2 linked regions of the Mus musculus genome follow. The protein of the gene in region 1 purifies or fractionates together with the protein of each later gene. This does not show direct contact. Links are inferred from orthologs where the notes say so. Each region holds a gene or a part of one and is shown on either strand. Other genes may lie near its edges.

Region 1 (6,947 bases):
GAAGTGCAAAAGGGGAGCGATGCGGAGCGGCTAGCAATTCCAGCGCGGCGCGCGACATACTAGCAAGGTGCAGTCCAAGGGCGCGCAAGTGAGGACAGGCCTCCAGTAGTTTGAGCACAGAAGTGGGCTGCACGCTGTTCACCAGTGCATGGTTGTCCAGGAAAAGACTGCGGAGCTCGGGACAGCCAGCAGCAGCCTTAAGCACCAGAGTGTCGTCCAGCGTGTAGGGCAAGTGGCGCAGGTCGAGGTGGCGAAGTTGGTGAGCAGCTCCGCAGACTGCGTGCACAGCTCCCAGGATGTCCTGGCCCGCATCAAAAAGCGGTTTCTCTCCGCGGCACTCCAAGCGCAGGCCTCGGAGCCTTGGGGCTCGGCTGGCCAGAGCGGTCAGCAGCTCGGTGGCCGTTCCGCGGCTGGGCTTCTTTGATGGCTCATATTCCAGCCTTAGGTTGTGAATGTGGTCCAGGCAGGAGGACAGATATGGTGGCAACAAGTCTTCCAGCTCACAGTCACAACTTATGTTAGAGCGACATAGAAAGAAATTAGCGGTGTCACCATGAACTAGGAAAGAAACTTTTTTTTTAAATTAATGTTTTGATTTGTGTGTGTGTGTGTGTGTGTGTGTGTGTGTGTGTGTGTGTGTGTATTCTTGCTTTACCTGCATGTATGTCCGTGCACCACAGGCGTGCCTGGTGTCTGAGGAGGCCAGAAGGGGGTGTTGGAATCCCTAGAGCTGAAATTACAGCCATAGCTTCGAGCTGCTGTGTGCGAGGCAGGAATCGAACTCAGGTCTTCTAGAAGAGCCGCTAGTGCTCTTAACTGAAGAGTCATTTCTATGTGCCTTTCACTTTGCCTCTTGCCTATGACAGGAATTTCCATCCTATTTCTTTAGAAGACTTCAGAGGTTTCTGCCTGAGGTTGAACCCTCTCCCAGCAGCCCCCCCACCCCCACCCCGCCACTCCAGGAGTGTGTGTGTGTGTGTGTGTGGGGGGGTATTTAAGGAACTTGGCATGCTCAGTAGTCGGTGGAGATGGAGCAGGGCCTCCAGACCCAAGTGATTAAGTCTATAAGCCTCCATTTCCTGTCTGTGCAAAGGAGGCACTACTCCAGACCCACTACCCCTCATCTTCCTGTGAGCATTAAATGAGTTAACTTATGTAAGGCACTTAGGATACTAGTTGGGGACTTGGGACAGAGTGAGTGGTAGACTCCTTGCCTAGCAAATGTCAGACACTGGGTTCAATCCTCTGTTTCGGAAAAAAAAAATAATAAAAAGACAATGCCAATTGGTATATAACAGGCAGCCAATGAGCCTGTCTTCACAGATGAAGATGAGTGGGCCACAGGAAGCAACTCACCTGATGCTTTTATCAGACCACACGGTGCTGTTGGCGGCAGCCGCCGCCCAGGCCCTGCAGACTCTGGTGGCTACAGCAAGGTCCCTGAGAGGCAGGTCACGGAAGATGAGCGCCAACACTTCCTCTGGCAGATTGTCGACCAGCTCCCCCATGGTGCGGCTGGAGGGGAGGGGCCTGCTGCTCCCAGCTGCTGTGACTAAAGTGAAAGAGGGAGTCCCCTGGGTCAGAGGGGCGGATGGATGCTTGTGCACAGTAATACTGGGAGCCCAGGAAGCGCTATGTGGTTTGTAGAGAAGGCAGAGATCCCAGGCTGTGAGATGGCTTAGCAGATAAAGGCATTTGCCCCAAACACGGACGACCTGAGTTCTGTCCCGGGGTCAGAACTCTTTCAGAAGAACTGACTTCTGAAAGTTGTCCTCTGATCTCCAAGAATGCATGTGTACCCTGATTGGAGCACTTCCACACACATACCTGAATAAACAAACAAACAAACAAAAAGTTTAGAAAACATACAACAAAAGAATGGGACTGGAGGGATGGCTCAGCAGCTACAAACAAACAATCAAACAACAAAACCTTGGCTGTACTTGCAGAGGACCCAGGTTTGGTTCCCAGCACCCCACATGTGGCTCACAACTGCCCTTAATTTCAGGTTCAGGAGACTTGATGCCCTCTTCTAGCCTCTGTGGGCACCAGAGACACACATAGTGTACAGTGTACGCAAACACTCATACACATAAAAAAAAGTGTAAATCTAAAAATTGTTTTTAAGACAAGGCACTGGAGAGAGAGCTCAGCTGTTAAGAGCGCTTGTTGCCCTCAAAGAAGGTAGGACTTTGGTTCCCAGCACCTCCATAGCCAGTAAAAACTGTCTATAGCTATAGGTCTAGGAGATCTAAAAACTTTGTAGCCTCTGTGGCACTGCACGCTCATGTTACACAGACGCATGTGTAAAACCATACACATTAAATAAATTAAGCTAATTTAAAAAAGAAAATGCAGGGCTGGAGAGATGGCTCAGCGGTTAAGAGCACTGACTGCTCTTTCAGAGGTCCTGAGTTCAATTCCCAGCAACCACATGGTGGCTCACAACCATCTGTAATGGGATCTGATGCCCTCTTCTGGTGTGTCTGAAGACAGCTACAGTATATTCACATACATTAAATACATAAATTTTTTTTTAAACAGAAGTCTCTGCTCAGAATAGTAAATCTCCCTAAAGGCTTAAAGGTATAGTTCCAGTGGTTGTGCCTACACACACACACATACATACACACACGCACACACACACACACACACACTTTCCTATCTACCCTCTCTTTTTTTTCTCTTTTCTCATCTCTGCTGTGTGGCCCTGGCTGGTATTGAACTTGAGAATACTCCTGCCTCAGTGGTTTGGTTTTTCTTTCTTTTTTAAAAAATAGGGTCTCACTGTCTAGCCTTGGCTGGCCTGGAACTCCCTATGTAGACCAGGCTGGCCTTGAACTCACAGAGATCCTCCTGCCTCTGCCTGGGAAAGCTATGACTAAAGGTGTGTGTCACCAAGCCTGGCCCTCACTGGCTCTTCAAACTACTTTCTCGTGTGTTGAACAAATGAGAAATAGGTTTCAAGTTGAGGAATCCTGTCCACTAGAAACTGACTGTTGGGGCTAATCAGGCACCAGTCTTAGAGAATATTTTTTGTTTGTTTCTTTTTGTCTGAAATCACAGGCCAATCAGGAAGTGATGGGCGTCCCAGAAGGGGAGTCACCTTTACACTGCCTCCACCCCCTAGTAACGGACTGACTTCCTGCATGCTTTCTGTGACAGACCTGTGGTAAAAAGCTTGTGGCTCTGTCTGGGGCCGGACCGCTCTGGCACCCTTGAGGAGCTGTTGTTCAAGTTAGGACCCTGACCCTCGCGGAGCCTTGGTTCCTGCTAGCTAATAAAGACTCGGGTGGAACCCTGCAGACACACCCCAGAGCTTGGCTTTTACGAGAGGGGTGGGATCGGAATCTGCGTTTTCTCTGAAGCTGCCAGTTTTGCTTCAAAGTGCTGTAAGGTTTTTGTAAAGGTTCACACTTGCCGTTTCATTTCCCCATGTCTTCCAGGTGTATGGTCTCTCGTGGAATTTACCTCAAGTATACACTAGAGTTCCCGGATACTCCAAGCTAGGCTTGTCCTGGAACCACAGCACCCCATTTTCTGTGTTAAAGACTAGCAGAGATTAGATCATCAAACCAGATTTCCTAGGGGGCGCCAGAAAAAATTCTCATCTCCAGGAGATGCCCTCTGATTGAACCCCAGGAACTAACTTAAATTTGGCGGCTCTCACTCTGAAGCCCTTTCGGCTTCAAAACCCCCAAACTGCTATGTCCAGTGGGCAGTTCGTCCTGCCATCTAAACTTGGGTGTCCGTTATCTTACCTGCTCAGCGGACTAGGTGGGCTTTACCCGGAGACAGGGGACTGGCCACGGAGGACAGCTAGGGCAGGAAGGAGAGGCCCTGGGCGGAGAAGGCGGGACGCGCGGGCGGACCCGGCGACTCTGCTAGGGCACCGCCCCTGCGTCTCCGCGCACACCCGGAAGCCGCGCGCAGCAGAGCCAGGCGAGTGTGCGGCGGCCAGGTTAGTGCGGAGGGTGGGTGGGCTCCCTCGGTGCAGCCCCAGCAAAGCGAGAGATCTGGCTTCCCGAGGGCGAGCACCGCGCGGTGGTGACACGCGATTGCTGGCCAGTTAGTGGCAGCGGCCGGTCGGACTGTTTTGGTGGGAGGTACGAGGGACTTCGGACCTCCACCTTCTCTGGTTTTTTGTCCCAACTAAGGGTTTCTGGTGGGTGTCAGGGCCCTGCGGAGGAGGGGATATGGCTGCAGGGCTGGCCGGGAACGGTTCTGAGAACCCTCTTCCTGTCTGAGCCCAGTCGTGCGCGAACCCCCAGTTTGAAGGTGGGGTAGTGGGCAGACTGGGAACCTTCCTAGGCCAGGTCGCTTACTGCGCACCCGAGCAGGGGGCGTGTTCTGATGGTCTGGGAATCTCAAACTTTCTTTGAGTTGGGAGCCAAGCCCTTCCACCTAGCCAGAAGTGGGGCTACCTGGGGACTGTTATTTGTTAATGAGACCGGACATCTGGGTAGAGTCATTTGTTCTGGAACCCAGCGTAGAAGCCTCCTGGTGGAAGGAGGCCTGAGAAGGATTCTTTTTTCATTTTGGTTTTCCGAGACGGGGTTTCTCTGTGTACCCCTGGCTGTCCTGGAACGCACTCTGTAGTGCCAGGCTGGCCTCGAACTCACAGAGATCTGCCTGTCTCTGCTTCCTGAGTGCTGGGATTAAAGGGGTGCACCACCACCACTCGGTTTGGAAACGAATTTTTTTTTTTAAAAGACACACACACACACACACACACACACACACACACACACACACACACACACACGAGATTCAGATGCACCAGAAGAGGGCATCGGTTCCCATTACAAATGGTCGTGAGCCATCATGTGGATGCTGAGAATTCAGGACCTCTGAAGAGCAGTCAGTGCTCTTATCTGCTGAGGGAAGGATTCCTAAGGGGACAGTGAGAAACCAGTTCCCTCCATCTTGTCTGTTCTATTAACCTCACTTCTCCAACTCCGCGAACTCCAAGGCGGCTATTTCCCCTATTTGCCCAGTACTAGTGAATTTACATATCGATTACTCTGCCATCTCCAGCTCTACCGCACTTGTGCTGACAGGCCTGGTGGATAGTACCCCGACACACACCAGTACAGTTCCAAATCTTCTCCTACCCCTTGGGATGGGATCACATCCATGGGATAGAAGGGTAGGAAAGTGAACTAGATGTTTCATGAATCACGAGCTACTTCTTAGACGTCCTTGCTTGTTTTATACCTCGGTAGCTGAAGAGTTACATCGTGATGTTTTTGCCTTACTTTTTACTAAAGACATTTATGGGCTGGGGTGGGGCTCAGTGGCTGAGAACTACCGTACACCTGGCTCAGGGTTCAATCCCAAGTACGGAAGTCACTGGAGCCCTGCCCTGTAGAACTTCCTGGTGTTCTTGCTCTTGGTTCCTGAGGGCTGAGGTTACAGATAGGATGCCATCACCTCAAGTTCTCTCCTTTTCTTTTTTGGCTTTTTGAGCCAGGATCTTACTCTGTAGACCAGGCTGCCCCCTCAAACTCAGAGATTTGACTGCCTCTGCCTCCCGAATACTGGGATTAAAGGAATATTTCATTTACAATCCACCTCCTCTGCTTTTTTTTTTTTTCCTTTTTGAGACAGGGTTTGTCTGTGTAGCCCTGGCTGTCCTGGAACTCACTCTGTAGACCAGGCTAGCCTCAAACTCAGAAACCCACCTTCCTCTGCCTCCCAAGTGCTGGGATTAAAGAAGGTGTGTGCCACCACCGCCCAGCGACTCTTTCTTTCTTTCTTTCTTTCTTTCTTTCTTTCTTTCTTTCTTTCTTTCCTTCCTTCCTTCCTTCCTTCCTTCCTTCCTTTCTCTCTCTCTCTCTCTCTCTCTCTCTCTCTCTCTCTCTCTCTCTCTCTTTCTTTCTTTCATTCTTGTTATTTGAGACAGGGTTTCTCTGTGTAGCTTTGGCTGTCCTGGAACTCACTCTGTAGACCAGGCTGGCCTCGAACTTAGAAATCCACCTGCCTCTGCCTCCCGAATAAGAAACATGTCTCTTATATATAAAGTAGGAGATATTGCTTAATACAAAGAAAATTAAAACCATCCCAACCTGCCCAGAGATAGACAATAATTTTCAGACTGTTTTAGTAAATATATGTATATTAGTATTAAATTTTCTGATGGAAGAGGAGTTTCAAAAATCTATGTTCCTTAGCTGGGCAGTGTTGATGCACGCCTTTAATCCCAGCACTTGGGAGAAAGAGGCAGTGGATCTCTTGAGTCTGAGGATAGCCTGGTCTACAGAATGAGATCCAGGGCAGCCAGGGGTACCTTGTCTCAGAAAACAAACACCCCAACAAACCAACCAACCAAAAACATACAAAAACCCCGTGTCCCCATGCTTAGACCTAGATAGGGCCATGGACAGTTCATCATTTCCCTCCACCAGGTCTATGCTATGCCCTGCCCAGGTGCTTTCTTCTTAACCTTGACTCTCTATTAGAGGTTTGGAAGCAAGATTTTAACAGGAGATGGATGGAAGTGATCCTGGCGTTGAGGGGCCCTCATGTCTCATGTGGAAAGTTAGGGAATTTGTTTAGGAATAGCCAAAGAGAACACGGGCCCAATCACAAAGCAGGATGACTTAGCGCGCATAACTGAGCAGTCAAGGATGGTCCGAGATAGCTGGATCCGTGAGTGCATGTCCTGTCCTCAGGCGGGCGTGGCAGCACTTGCAGATAGACCGCTGTGAGTCAGAGGCCAGCTTCCTGTAAAGGGAATCCAGACCAGTCAGGGCCTAGTACACAGAGAAACCCTGTCTTGACACCCCCTCCCCCACAAAAACCCAACAGTGTGTGTGTCCTGAGATGGAACCCACAGTGGAACAGTTCAGAGCACTGTCAGCTCTTCCAGAGGAAGCTGGTCAGATTCCCAGCACCCATGCTGCGGCTCACAACCATCTGGAACTCCAGTCCCAGGAAAGCTGATG
Region 2 (6,510 bases), on another chromosome or scaffold:
TAAAGCACTAAAGAATAAAGAAAAAATGGATCTCTAAAGGAATAGAAGGTCCCCTTCCCCCCAATCTCCTGTTTCTTTAATCTGCCACATATTACCTGCTTCCCAATACTTAGGCAAGAAGATTAGACTACTTTTGTTTGGAACATAAAATACTTCATCCCTCAGACACCAAGTGCTGGCTTCAGGCATTGTCATCTTTGGCCATCACCGAACTGTCATTCTGGCAGCGTTTGAGCACATACAAGGCCAGCACGTTTCCCTAAGTGTACAGTGCAGACATGGTTCAGTCACCTGAATCAGTAGTTTGCGGTCTTCCTCTATATTTTTGTGTGTAGTTTCTTGTTCCTGCTTCTGTTCAGTTTTCATTGGTACATTGATATTAACCCTCAATTTCTTACTGTCAAGATAACAGAGGAAACAGGTCATTGAAAAGTCTGCTTCCTGTCTTTCAACTACACGTTTTGCATCCCTGGACTGGGCAGGTGGTTCACACCCATCTCTTCTATATCATTTCTCATCATTTCTACTGCTACCTGCGAACTGCCCCTCCACCAATGCTATGTAATTTTACCACAGAGGGATGACTGAAGTGACACTTGACCCCTCAATTTAGTGAATTGTAATAACACCAAAATAACTTGATATAAAGGTCTAAACATGCCATATGAGCCACTCAAGACTTATTTTCAAGATAAAGAAAATCAAACTCAGCATTAAAAGCAGAGTCCAGTTCCCCTGGCTCGTGCCGATCCTGAAGTAGGCCAGTGCCAGGGGATAAGACCAGCAGCTACATGTTAGATTTTTCTTACTTTTTATAACCAAGATATAACTTTATTAAGGTGTCTGGCTTCAATTCCACCTCATCAACATTGGCATTTTCATCTTCTAAGACCTAGAAGAAAATAACTGTTACTAGGCACATCCTAGGGAAAGGGTGTCTTCTAGCTCAACACAAAGTATACAAACATACCAGCAATTTCGACTTCAGTAAAATCTGTAGGACTTGTGCCAAAATGTCCTGCAATCAGAGAAAGATGGTAAGCAAGGAGGAAGAATACTTCTTTACAGTGCCTGTCCCAGAGGCCCAGCCTCACAGAAATGGTCATCACCTCAAAGCAGAACTAGTCAGAGAAAGTGACATGGCTTGTTCTTTATGGCCTGAAGCACCCACTATTCAAAGGCAATAATAATGCAGTTTCCCACAAACACTGGACACAATATATGGCCTGCTTCTTCAATGAAACCTACAGGAAATGATTCACTTCTTCGATGTCTGAAGGTTCATAAGACATTTATGTGGTGCTGTGGATCAAACCCAAGGCTTTGTGTGCCAGGCAAGTGTTCTACCAGTAAACTACACCCCTGAACATGCGAACGAAGCAGTAAGGAGCTTCAGCAGAACCAAAGTTGCACTGCATTCATGAACATGCTGAGACTTGGAGGCAGCTGACTTGCTGCCAACTTGGCTTTAGTTGGCAATTCAGTGCATCATATGACCTCTGTAGTTATTAGCTGCTCTGGTGATTTCCAGAACCATCAAGCCTCATGGCATGGGGACTTAACTTTCTCACCTGCACTCTTAACCAAGGCTCCCATGCTGTCAGAGAAGTGACAGCTATGCACTGGGGTCTGGAGGAGGGCAGCTAAAGACCCATAAGGTAATTCTAGTAATACAAAGAAGTAGAAAGATTGGTGTGGCATCGAGGAGAAGGCCAAGCAGAGACTAGAGAGGCAGACCTGTCAACCCTTCCAACCAGCCAGCAAAAAAAAAAAAAAAAAAGTAGGTTTCATTGAAATTTAAAAAAAAAAAATGCATGTACAGCAGTGTACCCATCAGTAAGTACACATGTCAACTAAAAAATTAAATGGGGGCAGGGACCACTTCTTAACTGGTGGAGTACTTGGCTAGCATGCCCAAGGCCCTGGATTCAATCTCCTGCACTGCATAAAAACGGGTGTGGAGCATGCCAGTAATCTATCACAGATACACAGATGTATGTACAAAGACAGGACAGTAAGTTAGTTTAAGGCATTCTCTACCTACTCAGTGAATCTGAGGTCATCCTAGAGTACAGGTGACTATTTCAACAACAGCAACAGAAAATCCCAACCAAACAAAAAATAAAGTGAATGAGGAAAGTTAAAAAATCTTTTATCTGCTTCCCAGCACTCACGTGAAAGCTCAGCCTTGTCTGGAGTGCTATGGGGAATAAATGAGTGAATCCCCAAGTCTTACTGCTGTGCAGCCTAGCTGAATGGATAAGCTCCAGATTCACTGACAGACGCTGCTTCAAAGAAAGAATGACATGTGCACCACAGTGACATCTACTTCTAGTCTCCAACACGTGAATACAAACAAGTACATATATCTACACACACACACACACACACACACACACACACACACACACACACACACACAGAGATAGAGACAGAGACAGACAGTGACTGACTGGGTTTAAAACAGCATTTCAAGGGACAGTGGTGGTAGCACACACCATTAAGCCTAGCACATGGGAGGTAGAGTCAGGCAGATCTCTCTGAGTTCATAGCCAGCATGGATTACAAAGAGAGTTCCTGGATAGCCAGGGCTACACAGAGAAACCCTTAAAAAAAATAGAGCATCTCACACTGTCCTTATAATGCTGACAAAAGAGAGCATTTCTTAACACCCTTATGAAACTGGCATAAAGGTTTATAAGGACACAGCTGGAACTGGCCACCACCATCACAGGTGCTGGCCACCATGCCTGCCTGAGAACCCATGTTTTCTCCAAAACAATTTGCTTAAATACTATAAAGTTATAAAGTCGTGATAGTGGCACATGGAGCTTTACACCCTAGACCTTAGTACCACCAGTACCAGGAATGTGCTGGATGCTCCTCACACAAGTTTGAGACTAGTCAGGTTAACTTTTGGCTCAAGTGAACCTTGCCCATTATATAAACTTCTCTGACTCAACCATGAGAACTCAGTGGTCCTGTTGGCATCCAAGGTGTCAGACACCCCAGTGAAATGCTCTCTGTGGATCTATCTGGCCTGGTCTTCTGGTGCCTTGGTCAGAGTTTACTGCTTTTACTTTTTTCTCCATGCTGCTAACATCTAGTAAGCCAAAGAAACCCATGTCCTCTCCCCCTTTCCACAACATCCCAATGAACAAAGAAGAGGCAGCTTGAGAGTATAGCGTGAGTACCAAACAGTGGAAATACCATTTTAATCTGAGTGCTGTCAGTCAACTGCTGCACAGTATAGGCGTCTTCTGTGTTATACTGAAGCAGGATTGCCATCTGAAATGTGGACGCCTTCGTGGTCCAGAGGAAAGAAAGAGGAAATGTGAAAACATGGGAAAGGTACAACCTGCTTTCATGAAAAGCATTCTTCAGAGGCAAAAAAGGAGAGGGAATACAAAATGTCACAACCAGGGGAATGGACATTTTTCTTAAAGATACCTTTCAAACACTGAAAAGACTCATTTTTCTCCTGAAATGTACCCTATATAAGCATAAATATATGAGCATACCTATAATATAAACATACACCAGGTATAGAGACATTAATTATAAGTTTAATTTTTATGCATAGTAGAACAAAAATTATTTTGGGGATGCATACCATTTATACATTATGTGTATGTTTAAGTTGCCAGAGACCTCCACACCAGGTATAATGGTTACTTAATTAACTTATCAATGTGGAAGTACAAAGGTTAAACTAGTGAGTAGTTTTCGTCACATACTCTACAGTTTAATTACCATTACCAGCTCACTACTGAGACCTTTTCAAGGAATGAAGTAAGTTTTACTTGTGAAACACACTGAGTACAGAAGTGAGAGTAGAAGGAACCTAGACTTTGAACCACAGTTAACTGGACCCCAGCTTTTGTAGAAATGCAATCAGCCCATAGCTGTTATTACTAGGCACTGCACACTGCTAGACGTGCTAGGGAGTCTTATCACTGTGAGGCTGCAGAGAGCTCTGACTGGAACTAGAGAGTGAAATGTCATCTTTTAAATTTGTCACCCCAGCATGTCATGCAAACCTACCAAACCTATCAAAGATCACTTCTATGGTGTAAGCAAACACTGCTAACTCAGTGGAGGAGAAACCTGAGGCTCAGAGTAAGGAAGTGACTTGCATCTATAGTCAGAGAAAATGAGTTCAGCTCACCTGCCCATGACAAGCATGCTTTACTCCCTACATGGCTTTGTCAGAGAATGAACTGCATCCCACTGCATGAGCTATCTAATTGGGTTTCTATAAGTTGTCTTATCATCAATTAGTACTCAAATATTTTACCCAAATAAAAAGATTTTACCTGCAAAGTGTATCTGTTTTTGAAGCAGTTAGTGACTAGTTCCCCTTTGGACAGTTGATACAACCATGTCAATTTTCTGCCACTGTGACGGCTGGCGTAGAAAGCTGTAAATCGCTGATAACTGCGCTCCAACTAGATGAAAGAACAGCACTATGCGGCATCCATGGCTTTCCATTCTACAGTCAGCATTTCTAAATAAAAGTCCCTGCCCCAAGTTCTGAGAACAAAATCAGTGCTTACAGAGAAGTGAACTACAAATGCCGGGGACCGTCTCGTGAACACTTTAAGACTGCAGAGTGAGTACCAAAGCAGGTTTCTACCTCATGCCCAGTAGGTACATCAAGAGTTTACCATGTAACCAGTGAGACTCTGCTTGTCGGGAATAAGTCAACACTGTTTGCTGCAACAGAGAGCCTTTCGCTATTTAACACAGGCCCATTTCACATTCCCCACAAACAGTGCACTGACTGCTTACACAGCACTTCGGTCAGCACACTAAGGTCAGGCAGCCCTTTTCCCTCTTGCCAGCTGAAAGAGACCAAGAAACAAAACCAAAACTATCCTTACCTCTGACGGCAAGGCAAACGTGCAAGACTGCTGAAAGGGCCACGATCCAGAACTCAGGACCTGAATACTGAAGTCCACTGTGGGAAGGAACACATTTAATTACTCTACAAATTTTAAAATTCTATTGTTACACACACACACACACACACACACACACACACACAAGAAATAGTCAAAAGATTTAAAAATTCATTACAAGTCTAGTAGGCTACACATACACAGTGAGATGTCCTAGATCAAAACTTCAAACCAAAGGTTGAAGAACCTAGCAACTGTTGTCCTCCAGGGCAATGGTTTTCCACTTTACTGTCAATATAGAGTTTCTAAGCTGATCTGCCTTGATCAATTTTATTTTTTCCCCTTCTGGATATGAAGTTCAGCATGCACAAGCAATGGATGGTGACCAGGAATGATTGATTTAACAGACCCAAATACAAGAAAATGGAAAGCACAAGAGCAAAGCACTACCTCCACCACAACTTGTGTACCATGTACTACTGTCAAGACCGACAGTAGAGACTTCTGGAACCTATTAATTAGGACACTTTCATTTTCACAGATAACGTAGATGTCCATTAGCAATACAAGCTTAATGATGACAGCAATTTTGATTTGGGAAGAATAAAATTCTCCAACTTTCTTCAAAAACAAGTAAGAGAGAGAAGAAAGAAATGTATTCAAACTCAGGTTCAAAGGCACAACAAGCCCATGGATCAGCACAGAGCGAGGCAGACCTGACTGGTCTCACTCAGCAAAGCTGCCACCATCCCATCTGGGTGTCAGGAGGAGGAGAGAGCACTTGGAAGGAAACGCCTGCTTCTAAGTCTTGGAAACTCTGACCCCATTTACCACCCTCACTCCGTATTATGTCACTTCTCTCATCTGCTACCAAGAGCCCAAAGAGCCCTGCTATGAGCACTCAGTACTCACAGTCCAGCGGTTCTGAATTCGTCAGGTGTTTTTTGAACTGTTCATTCAGATCTTTGCTTACACCAATGTCTTGAAACATTCGCTGAAGTTTGGAAGTGTACTCAAAACCACAAGCTTGCTGAAATAAACCCAGGCAACTGTCTCATTAATTTGTATAGAAACATGAATGTATGCAATGCATATAAGGGATTTTTAGAGAAATCACAATACAATATATTTTTTCTTAAGTTCTTTGAAGCTATTACTAAGATTTAGTCATATCTTATGGCATAAATATATACAGATTAAAGTTTTATGTTCTAAAAGACCATTAAAAGTTGGACAATTGGGTCTTCAATATGCAGTAAACATATTGCAGCATTTAAAGCTGCAATTTAAAGAGATTACGATAGGAAATAATTTAGAAACAGGTGGAATGTTGCACATCTGAAAGCACCGTACTCAGCAGGAAGAGGCTAGCCTGGGCTGTCAATGACCCTCAAGCCAAACCCTTCCAATAGCCCAAATAATCTGCTAGTCCCTTATTCTACCACTAAACTGTCTTTTTTTAGAATGTGCCTGCTGAAGTTTAAACCTCTGGTGTGGAGGTATCTGAAGATGAGTCCTTGTGCGTTCATGAGTGTAGGGTGCCTCTTTAAGAGGATGTTACCCTGTGAGTAATGGGCCAAACAGTGGTTGACTGAGAGCCAGGAGAGCC

What was found.
Region 2: the proteins of Fbxl8 (region 1) and Cul1 purify together in Homo sapiens (affinity purification with mass spectrometry; 5 studies listed by BioGRID and IntAct, with this or other methods). This does not show direct contact. The link is inferred for Mus musculus from reciprocal best matches to the Homo sapiens genes FBXL8 and CUL1.

The regions. Positions count from the first base shown.
Region 1 is NC_000074.6:105,261,575-105,268,521, reverse strand, and holds the start of Fbxl8 (F-box/LRR-repeat protein 8), read right to left. Parts: upstream 3,875-6,947; 5' UTR 3,762-3,874; intron 1,828-3,761; 5' UTR 1,509-1,827; coding exon 1,357-1,508; intron 892-1,356; exon of another isoform or gene 877-891; coding exon of another isoform or gene 656-876; intron 513-655; coding exon 1-512. UniProt on the Homo sapiens protein: Substrate-recognition component of the SCF (SKP1-CUL1-F-box protein)-type E3 ubiquitin ligase complex.
Region 2 is NC_000072.6:47,517,586-47,524,095, reverse strand, and holds part of Cul1 (cullin-1), read right to left. Parts: intron 5,932-6,510; coding exon 5,814-5,931; intron 4,961-5,813; coding exon 4,884-4,960; intron 4,449-4,883; coding exon 4,317-4,448; intron 3,304-4,316; coding exon 3,211-3,303; intron 1,019-3,210; coding exon 971-1,018; intron 893-970; coding exon 810-892; intron 398-809; coding exon 292-397; intron 1-291. UniProt on the Homo sapiens protein: Core component of multiple cullin-RING-based SCF (SKP1-CUL1-F-box protein) E3 ubiquitin-protein ligase complexes, which mediate the ubiquitination of proteins involved in cell cycle progression, signal transduction and transcription.